3 linked regions of the Arabidopsis thaliana genome follow. The protein of the gene in region 3 purifies or fractionates together with the protein of the main gene of each other region. This does not show direct contact. Each region holds a gene or a part of one and is shown on either strand. Other genes may lie near its edges.

The links.
Region 1: the proteins of PIP1B (region 3) and AT5G27850 purify together in Arabidopsis thaliana (affinity purification with mass spectrometry, with the first as the bait; one large-scale study listed by BioGRID). This does not show direct contact.
Region 2: the proteins of PIP1B (region 3) and SHM4 purify together in Arabidopsis thaliana (affinity purification with mass spectrometry, with the first as the bait; one large-scale study listed by BioGRID). This does not show direct contact.

What each region holds. Positions count from the first base shown.
Region 1 is NC_003076.8:9,871,048-9,874,805, reverse strand, and holds the start of AT5G27850 (Ribosomal protein L18e/L15 superfamily protein), read right to left. Parts: upstream 1,740-3,758; 5' UTR 1,638-1,739; coding exon 1,635-1,637; exon of another isoform or gene 1,469-1,634; coding exon 1,379-1,468; intron 1,286-1,378; coding exon 1,157-1,285; intron 936-1,156; coding exon 753-935; intron 668-752; coding exon 509-667; 3' UTR 1-508.
Region 2 is NC_003075.7:8,048,518-8,052,275, forward strand, and holds the start of SHM4 (serine hydroxymethyltransferase 4), read right to left. Parts: upstream 1,641-3,758; 5' UTR 1,505-1,640; coding exon 827-1,504; intron 418-826; coding exon 27-417; intron 1-26. UniProt on the Arabidopsis thaliana protein: Catalyzes the interconversion of serine and glycine with the conversion of tetrahydrofolate (THF) into 5,10-methylene-THF.
Region 3 is NC_003071.7:18,908,561-18,912,318, forward strand, and holds PIP1B (plasma membrane intrinsic protein 1B), read left to right. Parts: upstream 1-1,734; 5' UTR 1,735-1,889; coding exon 1,890-2,217; intron 2,218-2,442; coding exon 2,443-2,738; intron 2,739-2,818; coding exon 2,819-2,963; coding exon of another isoform or gene 2,964-3,019; exon of another isoform or gene 3,020-3,047; coding exon 3,048-3,184; 3' UTR 3,185-3,422; downstream 3,423-3,758.

The sequences.
Region 1 (3,758 bases), on a different chromosome or scaffold from region 3:
ACTTGCAAGATTCAGTATGGAACTTTCGAGCCATCTCCTGTTACCATGGAGCTGTGTTCCAATGTTGTTGGATTACATCCACTTGTGCTGAGAAGACTTGATGCGTTCTTATTTGACAAGCTTCATTATGATTATGGATATACGATTTTTGCTAGAACCTAATAGACAACGAATTAGGTGGGTTAGTACGAAACAGAACATTTTTCAGGGTTGTTTACACATTTTAATACTCATGTACAGATATTTTATTTCCAAGGAAGAGAAATACAAAACGAAATAGACCATAATGATACTATGAACTCCAAATACTGATCAAATCCAAATTCTAGATAAAATCTCATTGCAGCTAATAGTAGTAAGATTAAAAGACAAAGCAAAATATCCAATTGTCTTGAGAATAGAAAAACAGAACTTAAAACAAAGTCTGGAACAGGGTAAAGAGGAACCAGCGTTCCCTACCAAAACTTCGATACTTAAACCAAGCAAAACGAAACCAGAAAACATCTTCTTAGACCTTGAATCCACGACTCTTTCGCTTTCCTCTAGCTTTCTCAAACTTCCTTCCCTTATGCCTAACATATGGCTTAGTGTTACTGTGTGGCACACCAGGAGCAGGTCCGAAATGCTTCACTGCTTCACGCGAGTTCTTTGGTCCTCTAAGAAGAACCTGTCACAACATATCAAACACAGCTCAGTTTCATATATAAACTTGAATTATCCTAAACATTCAGATAGTGTAAAATTTTACTTACTGTGTTCTGTCCCAATGGAGCTCTGAGAGCAAGCTGGTCAAAGGTTAAGCACTCTCCACCAGCTTTCTCAATTCTAGCCCTAGCCCTCTCAGTAAACCTCAAGGCAGTAACCTTCATGGCAGGAATCTCATGAACTCTCAAATCATCAGTGATAGTTCCAACCAACACAGCAATCTTGTCATCCTAATAAATAGACAAACCACAACATTTGAGTACTCTAACCATCACTGAATAGTAAGATACAAAATCAAGTTTGTACATTTGTTCTCACATACTAACATAACAGGACAACGTCAAAACTCATAACTTCACAGAATGAAAATAAAATAAATGGGGTTCCAAATTAAGACCAAGGACAGACTCAAGATGTATATAAAGAGAGATGGGTCTCAAAAAGATCGAACCTTGCCAGTCATGAACTCTACAAGCCTAGAGAGTGAAAGAGGAGCTTTGTTGACTTTGCTCATGAAAAGCCTTTTCAGAATCACAGCATTGAAGTTGCTGTTAGATCTCCTCACCAAAAACCGGTAAAGCTACAAAATTTATCAAAAACACAAACAAATCTCAATAAACCAAAATGTAACAGACAGAGAAACATAAGTAAAAGACATGTCAATATTTGTTACCTTGACGAGAAGCTTTAGGTAGACATCATCGGACTTAGGAGCAGTCCTTTTGGTCTTCTTACTCTTACCTCCTGCGATAAGATCGATACCCTAAAATAACAACAACGATAAAACACTCAAATGCAAATCCATAACGAAACATCAGAAACCTAAGGAACCATTACACGCTAAACCAACTAGATCAAGCTCGCAAACGGAGAATTCATTTTGTAATACATAAGAAACGGAGATTGAGAGGCGGAGATCAAGAATTTACCATGGCTGCGTCTGCGAGAGGAAAACGAAGTTAGGGTTTATGAATTTATAGGAGCAACAAGCAAGCTCGCTTACATTTTAGGTTTTTATGGGCTTTATCTTCGCTTTAGGCTATTTGGGCCCAAACTAGAAGCCCATTTGTTTCACATCCTTCGGCTTCGGTTATATGATTTTGTTGAGATCAAAATCAATATTTTACTCTTTCTTTTTATGGTAAGACAAATAAATTTTTTATTCAAGTATATTAAGTGTAGATTATTGTCTTCAGAAAAAATAAAACTGTATATCTCAATTATGAGGATTCACGATTAGAGAACGTAGAATAATGGTATTATTTTGATCAGTGTTATAAACCGGATAAGTATGGATGTCATTATCCATCATTCATCTCTATCCATAAGATATGGATGATGTTTATCCATTATTTCTTCCTTAAGATATAGATGATGTTTATCCATTATTTCCTTCTTAAAATATGGATGATGTTTATCCATTACTTCATCTTTAAGATATGGATGATGTTTATCCATTACTATTCTCTAAGTAATTTACTTCCTAGCTAAGTAAGCTCTACTATATATAACTCATTTCATTCATTTATAAGATATAGAGAAAACAGAGAAAAAGAGAAGAGAAAGAGAAAGCAATAAGAAAACTCTTGTTTCGAGTTTTATTCTCTCTAGTCTTCATTCTTATTTCTTAATTTAATCTTTTATGACAATCAGAAGGTTTTTGTAATGCATTATTGCTAAAGTTTTATACAAAAATTAGGATCTTGTTTGCCAGCTAAAAAAAACTAATAGATGATGTTCATAGATACAATAAAATGGTGCAATCGGTTTTAACATGACATAATAATTGATATGTTCTTACTTCCATAATTTTTAGTTTGCTTTACAGTTTTGTATTTATAAGATTTTACTACATACAAATTATTAATAATTATTGTTTGTTTTGTTGATGTGAACTTTCATCCAATAAAGTTAAGAGAGAGATGATTTGATATTTCTTTTTTGTACAAGATGTGTATGTAATGACGTTAGTTACTTCATTGTAATTAAAGTTTGTTAAAATTGACTACAAAACATAAAGAATTATTTTACACTTGTGAGTAAACAAAATCCTATAGAATTATTTTCTTACTTTTTGTTTTATCAGCAAAAGCATAAGATAATTAACTTAAATACTTTTTGAAGTTTTAGAGTATAAATGTAGTAACAAAATATTAAACATAATGAATAAGAGTTTACTTAGAAATATAGAATTAATATTTTTTATTTCGTTTAGATTTTTTTCTTTTTCCTTCCAATATTATTATCAATGCAAATGTTTTACATCATTGTATACAAACGGCTATAAAAACCTAGGACATATTCGATATAACTCAAAGTTTGTATTACTCTTGGTAGCTGTCTTGACCAAGACATCAGCATAGACGTTGTTTTCTTGATGTCGGAATTTGAACTCGATGAAGTTAAAAGCTTTACGCCATTGATGTATGAAATCAAGATAATGTCGTAATCTTGGATTGGGCTCTATGCTATTGATGATACTAGTAACAGTGACGCTGTCACCCTCGAATATTACCTTCCTATAACCAAGTCCCTATGCGCATTGTATAGCCCAAATGAGTGCAGTACATTCTCCTTCTTCAATTGTTTGGCGTCCTTGAAATTTCCCCATTCCGCAGTCCATACATGTGCCGTGTGAATTCCTGATGATCCAGCCAAGACCCGCGGTTATCTTTCCTTCATAGTGAGAGACATCGTAGTTACACTTGACCCATCCTACTGGAGGCTTTTGCCAATTAGCCTTTCTCGATGTAGATGATAGTTGGTCTCGGGTATTTCTTTCTGGGGGTCGCATGTTATCTAGCCATTCCTTTGTGTCGAGGGACGCTTGTTTGACTATATCAGTTGTATCCTTTGCTCTTTTGTTGAAGACTAAATCATTTCGGCTCTTCCAAATACGCCACATTAGCCAAAATGGTAAAAGTCGTCCGGTTGTCTCAACCTTTGTATCCTCATGCAACGTTAATAAATAGCGGACTTTATTCTTCATTGTCTCGTCTGGGCTCAAAGTACATGTGTGGGAATTCCTGAAGCTCTCCATATTTGTTTCACCT
Region 2 (3,758 bases), on a different chromosome or scaffold from region 3:
TTTTCTCTGAGATATAATTCACTCACCGGTCAATCCAAGAGGGCGAAGATCCCAGAGAACAAGGTGGTTCTCAGTTCCATTGGTCACAATCTGGTAACCCTTGCTCATTAGGTAGTTTCCAAGGGCAACAGCATTGGCTTTCACTTGTTTTGCGTAGACCTTGAACCCAGGAGTATTAGCCTGCTTCAACGCAACAGCTAGAGCACCAATCTGGTGATTGTGAGGACCACCTTGAAGCGCAGGGAATACAGCAAAGTTGATTTTGTCCTCAAAATCATAGACTGCACCCTCGGGTTGACCCTTCTTTGGTGGTTTTGGACCCTTCCTGTAGAAAATCATACCAGCCCTTGGACCCCTCAAACTCTTGTGGGTTGTGGTTGTCACAACGTCACAGTACTCAAATGGGTTTGCAGCTTCCTGTAAATATGATTAAAACTCAATCAGTTCTGTCGGTGAATGCAAAAAAAAAAAAAAAAAACTCAATCTTGGCAAGTAACATTAGAGTAATCCCCAAACTTCATCAGGCTAATAGGTTGGTTTTAGTTACTGAAAAGAATTGAATCTCATCCTGTGTTCACTTAAACATTCTTATAGGAGTTAAACTATAAACTAGGAGACTAAAATGAGACGGCACAAGTAAAATCAAACGACTTTAACAATGTGATATGATTCGTTCTTGGGAAGAAGAACATTTGATAACCCTGAAAACACTAGACTTGACACAATGAATGCAGATCTTCGTTCTAAACAATTCATAATGCTAAAACAAAACCAGATCTACATGAAACACAATATCAATACAAATGAGAATAGGCTTATAATATACCTGAGCAGCAACGAGACCACTGATGTGAGCCATGTCACAAAGCAAAAGAGCTCCAACCTTATCAGCAATAGCTCTAAATCTAGCGTAATCCCAATCCCTAGGATACGCACTACCACCACAGATAAGCAACTTAGGCCTGAAATCCAACGCCTTCTCTTCAAGCTTATCGTAATCAATGTAACCAGTGGTGAAATTCACCTTATACGGAAGACTCTCAAAGTAGATCGAAGTCGCAGAGATCTTCTTACCACCAGATGTATAGTAACCATGAGTCAAATGACCACCTGAAGGCAAATCAAGCCCCATGATACGATCGTGAGGCTGAAGCAAAGCCGTGTAAGCAGCGAAATTTGCCGGAGATCCAGAATACGGCTGAACATTAACGCCCCACGCTGCTGGATCACAATGGAAAGCTTCGAGAGCTCTTGAACGGCAAAGATTCTCGATCTCATCGATGAATTCGTTACCTCCGTAATAACGATTACCAGGAATACCTTCGGAGTATTTGTTGGTTAAGGCACTTCCGAGAGCTTCGATGACGGCGAAGGAAGTGAAATTCTCGGAAGCGATAAGTTCGATTCCTCGACATTGCCGACGTTTCTCCTTCTCGATTAGGTCGTGGATCTCTGGATCTACGGAGACGAGAGAGGTGTTACCCCATGAAGAGACTGGTTCCATCTTCTTTGTAGATTGTTGAATGGATCTGAGATCGGAGAAAGAGGGAGGGAGAGATCTGAGATCAGAGAGTGAGAAGTGGGAAGAGAGGCGGTTGGGTTTAAAAGAGGAGTAGAAAATGGGGTAAATTACGGATTTGTCCTCCTTTGCTAATTTTGGTGTTAGTTGGTTAGGTGTGTGTGGTAGGAGAACAAGCTTAGTGTGTTTTGACTATTTTACCCTCTTACCAATATTTGTTTCCCTTAATTAATTATGATTAGATGGATACTTAAGGCCCAATTGCATTTAAGGTTGTGTTGGGTAAATCTCTCTCTCGGATTATTTTTATTTTTTTGACATCAGAAATTGAATTTGTTGGTAGAAAATAAAAAGTAATTACAAACAAAAATATAATCTATTGATTCCAAAAAAAAAAAAAAAACTGTATAAATCCCTATAAATCGGAGGAATTAAAATTGGAAAAAGGGCTTTGAGGGCCCATGATCTTGATTCAGCCCAGTGTTTTAGATAGGAGTAATTACATTTTAATAAGAAACTCTATAGTTTTTCATAGTTTAACCTTTCAAAACTCAAATGGTCGTACATCTGGTGTAAATAAGATGTATTATGTGTTAACAATGCAAAGGTAATTAAACCAACGTCAACATTGTCGACCACAAAATTTTCATCTATGTTGTGAAGATTTCAACAATTTATCCGCTTCAATATTATGTGATTAACCCCTTAAATGTTAATAATGTATTTTTTAAAGCTTTTTCACAAAGGAAGTATTCACGATGAATTTAAACATATGAATTTTGCGGATAAAAATAGTCTCTCACATATCTCCAAGCTAAATAAAACTTTATACGGTCTTAAACGAAACACTTGAAAACGGATAACGCAAAATTAAAATTGTATTTTCATAGTAATCTGATTTTAAAGTTACTTGCGGATGAATCTTAGTTCATATTCATCAATCATCACTAAGAATCACGAAGTCACCGTACCCTCTATATGACTATATCCTTGTTTATGTTTACGTTATAATTTTCAATGACAACTCATCATATGTGTAACCGTACCCTCTATAAGACTATATCCTTGTTTATGTTTATGTTATAATTTCAGTGACAACTCATCATATGTGTAACTACAGCATCACTTTGCCTCACTATTCATTATCCCAACATTATAAGAAATTGGTGGTCTTTGCTTAGCATCCTGACTAGATCACTTAATCGATACCATATCCAAATTAACATCACATTATAGTTAGAGAACATATCCAACTCTTTCGCCCATTTTGCTTATGTTGAAAATGCCAAATGAAATGTGTACAAATTGTTATTTTTCGATACTCTCAGTTTCTAATGAGAAAAAATAAGTTTGTTATTCCACTAAAGTCTTAGATATTCTCTGTCACAAATTTTATAATTTAGCATATGAAAAGAGCCATTAAACACACATTTTTATAAACAAGAAATAGTTGGTAGCCTCCCTTTGAAACCTTTTTTCGTGGACATACTAATTAACTAACTACACGATTGAGGAGTTGTTATGGTTAACAAATTTATTTATTATTATTGCATCGTGCCCTCGGTTGATCAAAGAATATTAAGTATTTAATATTTGCTAGAGAATGGCATGATCATGGGGTTTGGAGAGGAGAGTAGGTGGTTTTGTATGCATGTGAGTCGGTGAGGGTCAAAATCGTCTTTTCAATTTAAGATTTGATTATGTGGTCATTAAATAGTAACGTAGTGCCTAGTGGTATTGGCAGATCTGAGGTCAACATGTGATGTGACGAAGATCTTCATTTTCTTCGTAAACACACAGAATACTGAAGTTAGAAAAATGTCTTTTTCAGGTAATATTTACTCAGTAAAGAAAAAAGGCTGGTAAAAGTAAACTTTTAAGTTTGAACGTTAAAGTCAATTTAATAGTGTTTATTTATTTATTCGACATGTAGAAAATTAAACGATCTACGTAAAATATGAATACAAAAATATTAAATATTAGAATAAAGTGAGAGTATGTGTAAATCACGTTTTGGTGAATTTTTTCCATGTGGTAGAATAATAGAGGAGGACTTTTGTTGTAAAGTAAGCTTCACCAACCTCGATTTTTAGACCTGTATAATTGGAAACCCACCTACCTCCGCAAATACAACGAAAAGTATTGTCTTATAATACTTTCTTAATTAAATAACAATTCTTTTGGAGTCATATCATATATATACTCCTATTGTGGTGTCGACATGGTGACATACTACATA
Region 3 (3,758 bases):
TCGGTTTTTGTATACGTAAGTTTATGCCACGTGTCCTCTTATCCATGGATTGGACGGCTTGGAATCGTGGAATATTTTATTCTCATACCAAAGTCCAAATATATTACAACCTCCCCCTTTTTTTCCCTTCACAAAAAGCTAAAAGCCATTGCTTAAAAAACCAAGAAATACTAAAAGGATTTGGAAAAGTAGCAATCCTGATTTTGATTGATAGTACTATAATGGAACACCAGTAGTTGAAATTAGATACATAGGTTGAATGGAATTGTAACATAGGTTTATTTTATTCCCTTTTTTTTTTGTGAATACATGACAAAATGGTATTGAATTGTAAATGAACTTTTCAGAATTGTGTGAATGGCCAAAAAAATTGCAAAATATAAAAGACTATTCTAATATCGACAGAATTTACTAATCAAGATCAAACTCATACCAAAATAAATATAGGCCGTTCAATAAATAATTTCATTATGGATGTGAGTTTAACTTCATTATGGAGCATGTACATGGTTTGGGACACGGGAAAGGCGATAACATAACTTCTGCACTATACACCGTTTAAAGAGGGAATTTACCAGGGAAATTTGGTGCATGGTCAGATCAAATTTGGTCCATATGAGAGCTTGGACGGTAATAAAAGAAGGCAAGCGATAGAACATAACGAAATTTGGTAATGGGACTAGAAGAAAACAGCACGTGGGTAGGACATAGTGTTACACCCAAAAAGACAACAAAGCAACGAAGCAACCATAATTGTTTAGTCCTTTTTTTCTTTCTTTTGGCTTAAACGTTGTCTTTCCTTTTTGGCAAATAGTGGATTGCTGCCGAATATTACACTATCCAATCTTCTTCTTTAACCTCATTAAAACCCACTATTCATCATGCATTTATTTTACACATTCATGGTGAAACTACTTGGTATATATATGCAAATGAATATGCATGTGGATGGTACATGGCGTTTGATTTTGCATATAGGCAATTTATTGATCAATACTTGGTGTAGTTGGTACATTAAAGTTGCATTATAGACAAACAAAATTCGGCTGTCATGCTTGATTGATCTATAGATGATTTCATAATAAAAAAATATTGTCATGGATAAAAATAGTGAAGATGATAACAAAAAGAACAGAACACAAAGAAGAATCTCATTTCTTTTTTGATTAATAAAAGGATATAAAGTCATTAGTTTTTTTATTCGTCTCACTCGACACTAATAATAACTAAAATTGTTGGAGAATTAAAAGTAAGAAAGCAATGCTATAAAATAAAGTAATTGTTGGGAATGGAGCATGTAAAATTATCACTCATAACTAAAATTAGCAATGTTATAAAGTATTTAAGTAAGAAAATGTTGTAGATAATTTGTTAAATGAGGTGTCCCTATGTCTTTTAGGTGCGGTGAGTCCATGTGCTTATCCTGACAGCGGTCCAACTTAACCGGCGGTTCATCTCGACCACATATTCAACTGCTTTTTTAATATGATTTTCTGTATTTTCTTACCTGTCATAATCTACATTTAAACGTTAAAAAATGTCCACAATTTTATTTATTTTATTAGGGTACAATAACGACATTTGATTAGAGTAAAGAAAATAGTTGCAAAGCGGGATTTGAAACTCTGTCCACATACTTTAATTATCATTAATCAATAACAAGCATTATCAGTATTCAGCAGCAGCAAAGATGATAACGTTAATTATACTATCATGCAATTAAGTTAACTAATTAACTATCATCTTGTTTATGTTTTAATTTTGTTTCCATCATCTTCCAACCTTGAGTTTCGGTCACTATAAAAAGCCACCACTCTCTCTGCTTCTCTGCAACACATAACCCACTCACAGAAAAACCTAGAAAGCTCTAGAGAGAAAGAGAGAGAGAGATGGAAGGTAAAGAAGAAGATGTTAGAGTCGGAGCTAACAAGTTTCCGGAGAGGCAACCGATCGGAACTTCGGCTCAGAGTGACAAGGACTACAAAGAGCCACCACCTGCGCCGTTGTTCGAGCCCGGCGAGCTAGCTTCATGGTCCTTCTGGAGAGCTGGGATTGCTGAGTTTATAGCTACGTTTTTGTTCCTGTACATCACTGTTTTGACTGTTATGGGTGTGAAGAGGTCACCGAACATGTGTGCTTCCGTCGGAATCCAAGGTATCGCTTGGGCTTTCGGTGGTATGATCTTCGCTCTCGTCTACTGCACCGCTGGTATCTCCGGTAAGTTCACTGGTTTCTCCGATCTAACGATTTCGAATATAGATCCTGTGTTAGCTAGGTAGCGTAATTCAAATCTTAGCATGTTTAGGATTCAATCAGGAACAAATTAGGGTTTACAAACTCAGTAAATGGGGGACTTTGATGTTAGTTCCAGCTTTGTTCTGCTTGGAATCATTTGATTTGCAGATGTTTTAATCTGTGTTTGTGTATGTTATGACCTTTCAGGTGGACACATCAACCCAGCGGTTACGTTCGGTTTGTTCTTAGCTAGGAAGCTTTCGCTCACACGAGCTGTGTACTACATAGTGATGCAGTGCTTAGGAGCTATCTGTGGAGCTGGTGTGGTCAAGGGGTTCCAGCCAAAGCAATACCAGGCTTTGGGAGGTGGAGCCAACACCATAGCTCATGGCTACACCAAAGGAAGTGGTCTTGGAGCTGAGATTATTGGAACCTTTGTCCTTGTTTACACCGTCTTCTCTGCCACTGATGCCAAGAGAAACGCTCGTGACTCTCATGTTCCTGTAAGTTTATCAATAAAGGATGGATTTTGGTTTTTGTAACATCGGATCAAAATGCTTAATTGGTTTTGAAATTTTGACAGATTCTAGCACCGCTCCCTATCGGATTCGCTGTGTTCTTGGTTCACTTAGCAACCATCCCCATTACTGGAACTGGAATCAACCCAGCAAGAAGTCTTGGAGCTGCAATCATCTTCAACAAGGACAACGCTTGGGATGACCACGTGAGTGTTTCACTTCTCACCAAATTTACAATTCAGAGTAAGGTTTCAATTATCGGATAACTAATCTAGCTGTATCTTCTTCTCTCAGTGGGTCTTTTGGGTTGGACCATTCATTGGTGCTGCACTTGCTGCTCTCTACCACGTTATAGTCATCAGAGCCATCCCATTCAAGTCCAGAAGCTAAAGCTGATTGAGTTCTATTTAAAATCTGGCTTTTGTTCTTAGTTTGCTTTCTTTTGTGAATCTACTACCTGTGTGTAACGTGTGTATCTGTTGTCCTCTTCTTTGCCTAATGGAGACTTATGTAAAACAAAGACATGCCCCAGAAACATCTGTTATCTTTCTTCTCCATTTTATCAGAGGATTTCTATAATTGGCCCATTCTGGGTTTATCTCAAGCAGGCAACTTATCTTGAATCAAAGTGGACCAGACATATTTAATGCATTTATGTTATAATCTGCTACAAAAGAATAGTGCCATTACAAGTGAATCATTCATGCCAAATGTTATCTGACAAAATTGGCTCAAATTCAAGAAAACGACTCCTATAAATAAAACTAGGAATTGACAACGGGTAAGATTAAATGGCAATTTCAAAACCTGGAAAATGATTTGTAAGAAACAATTGTTAAACATAGAGCTATTCGATTATTCTAAGGATTATCATACAATGATACAAATAAAATGTGGCCATCGCGAACAGATTTCCAAACAATGTGACATTCTTTAAGCTTAGAATGAAACCTTTAGAATAAGATTTATTAAATCAAATTGAGAGATGCTTACAAAATAATGAAA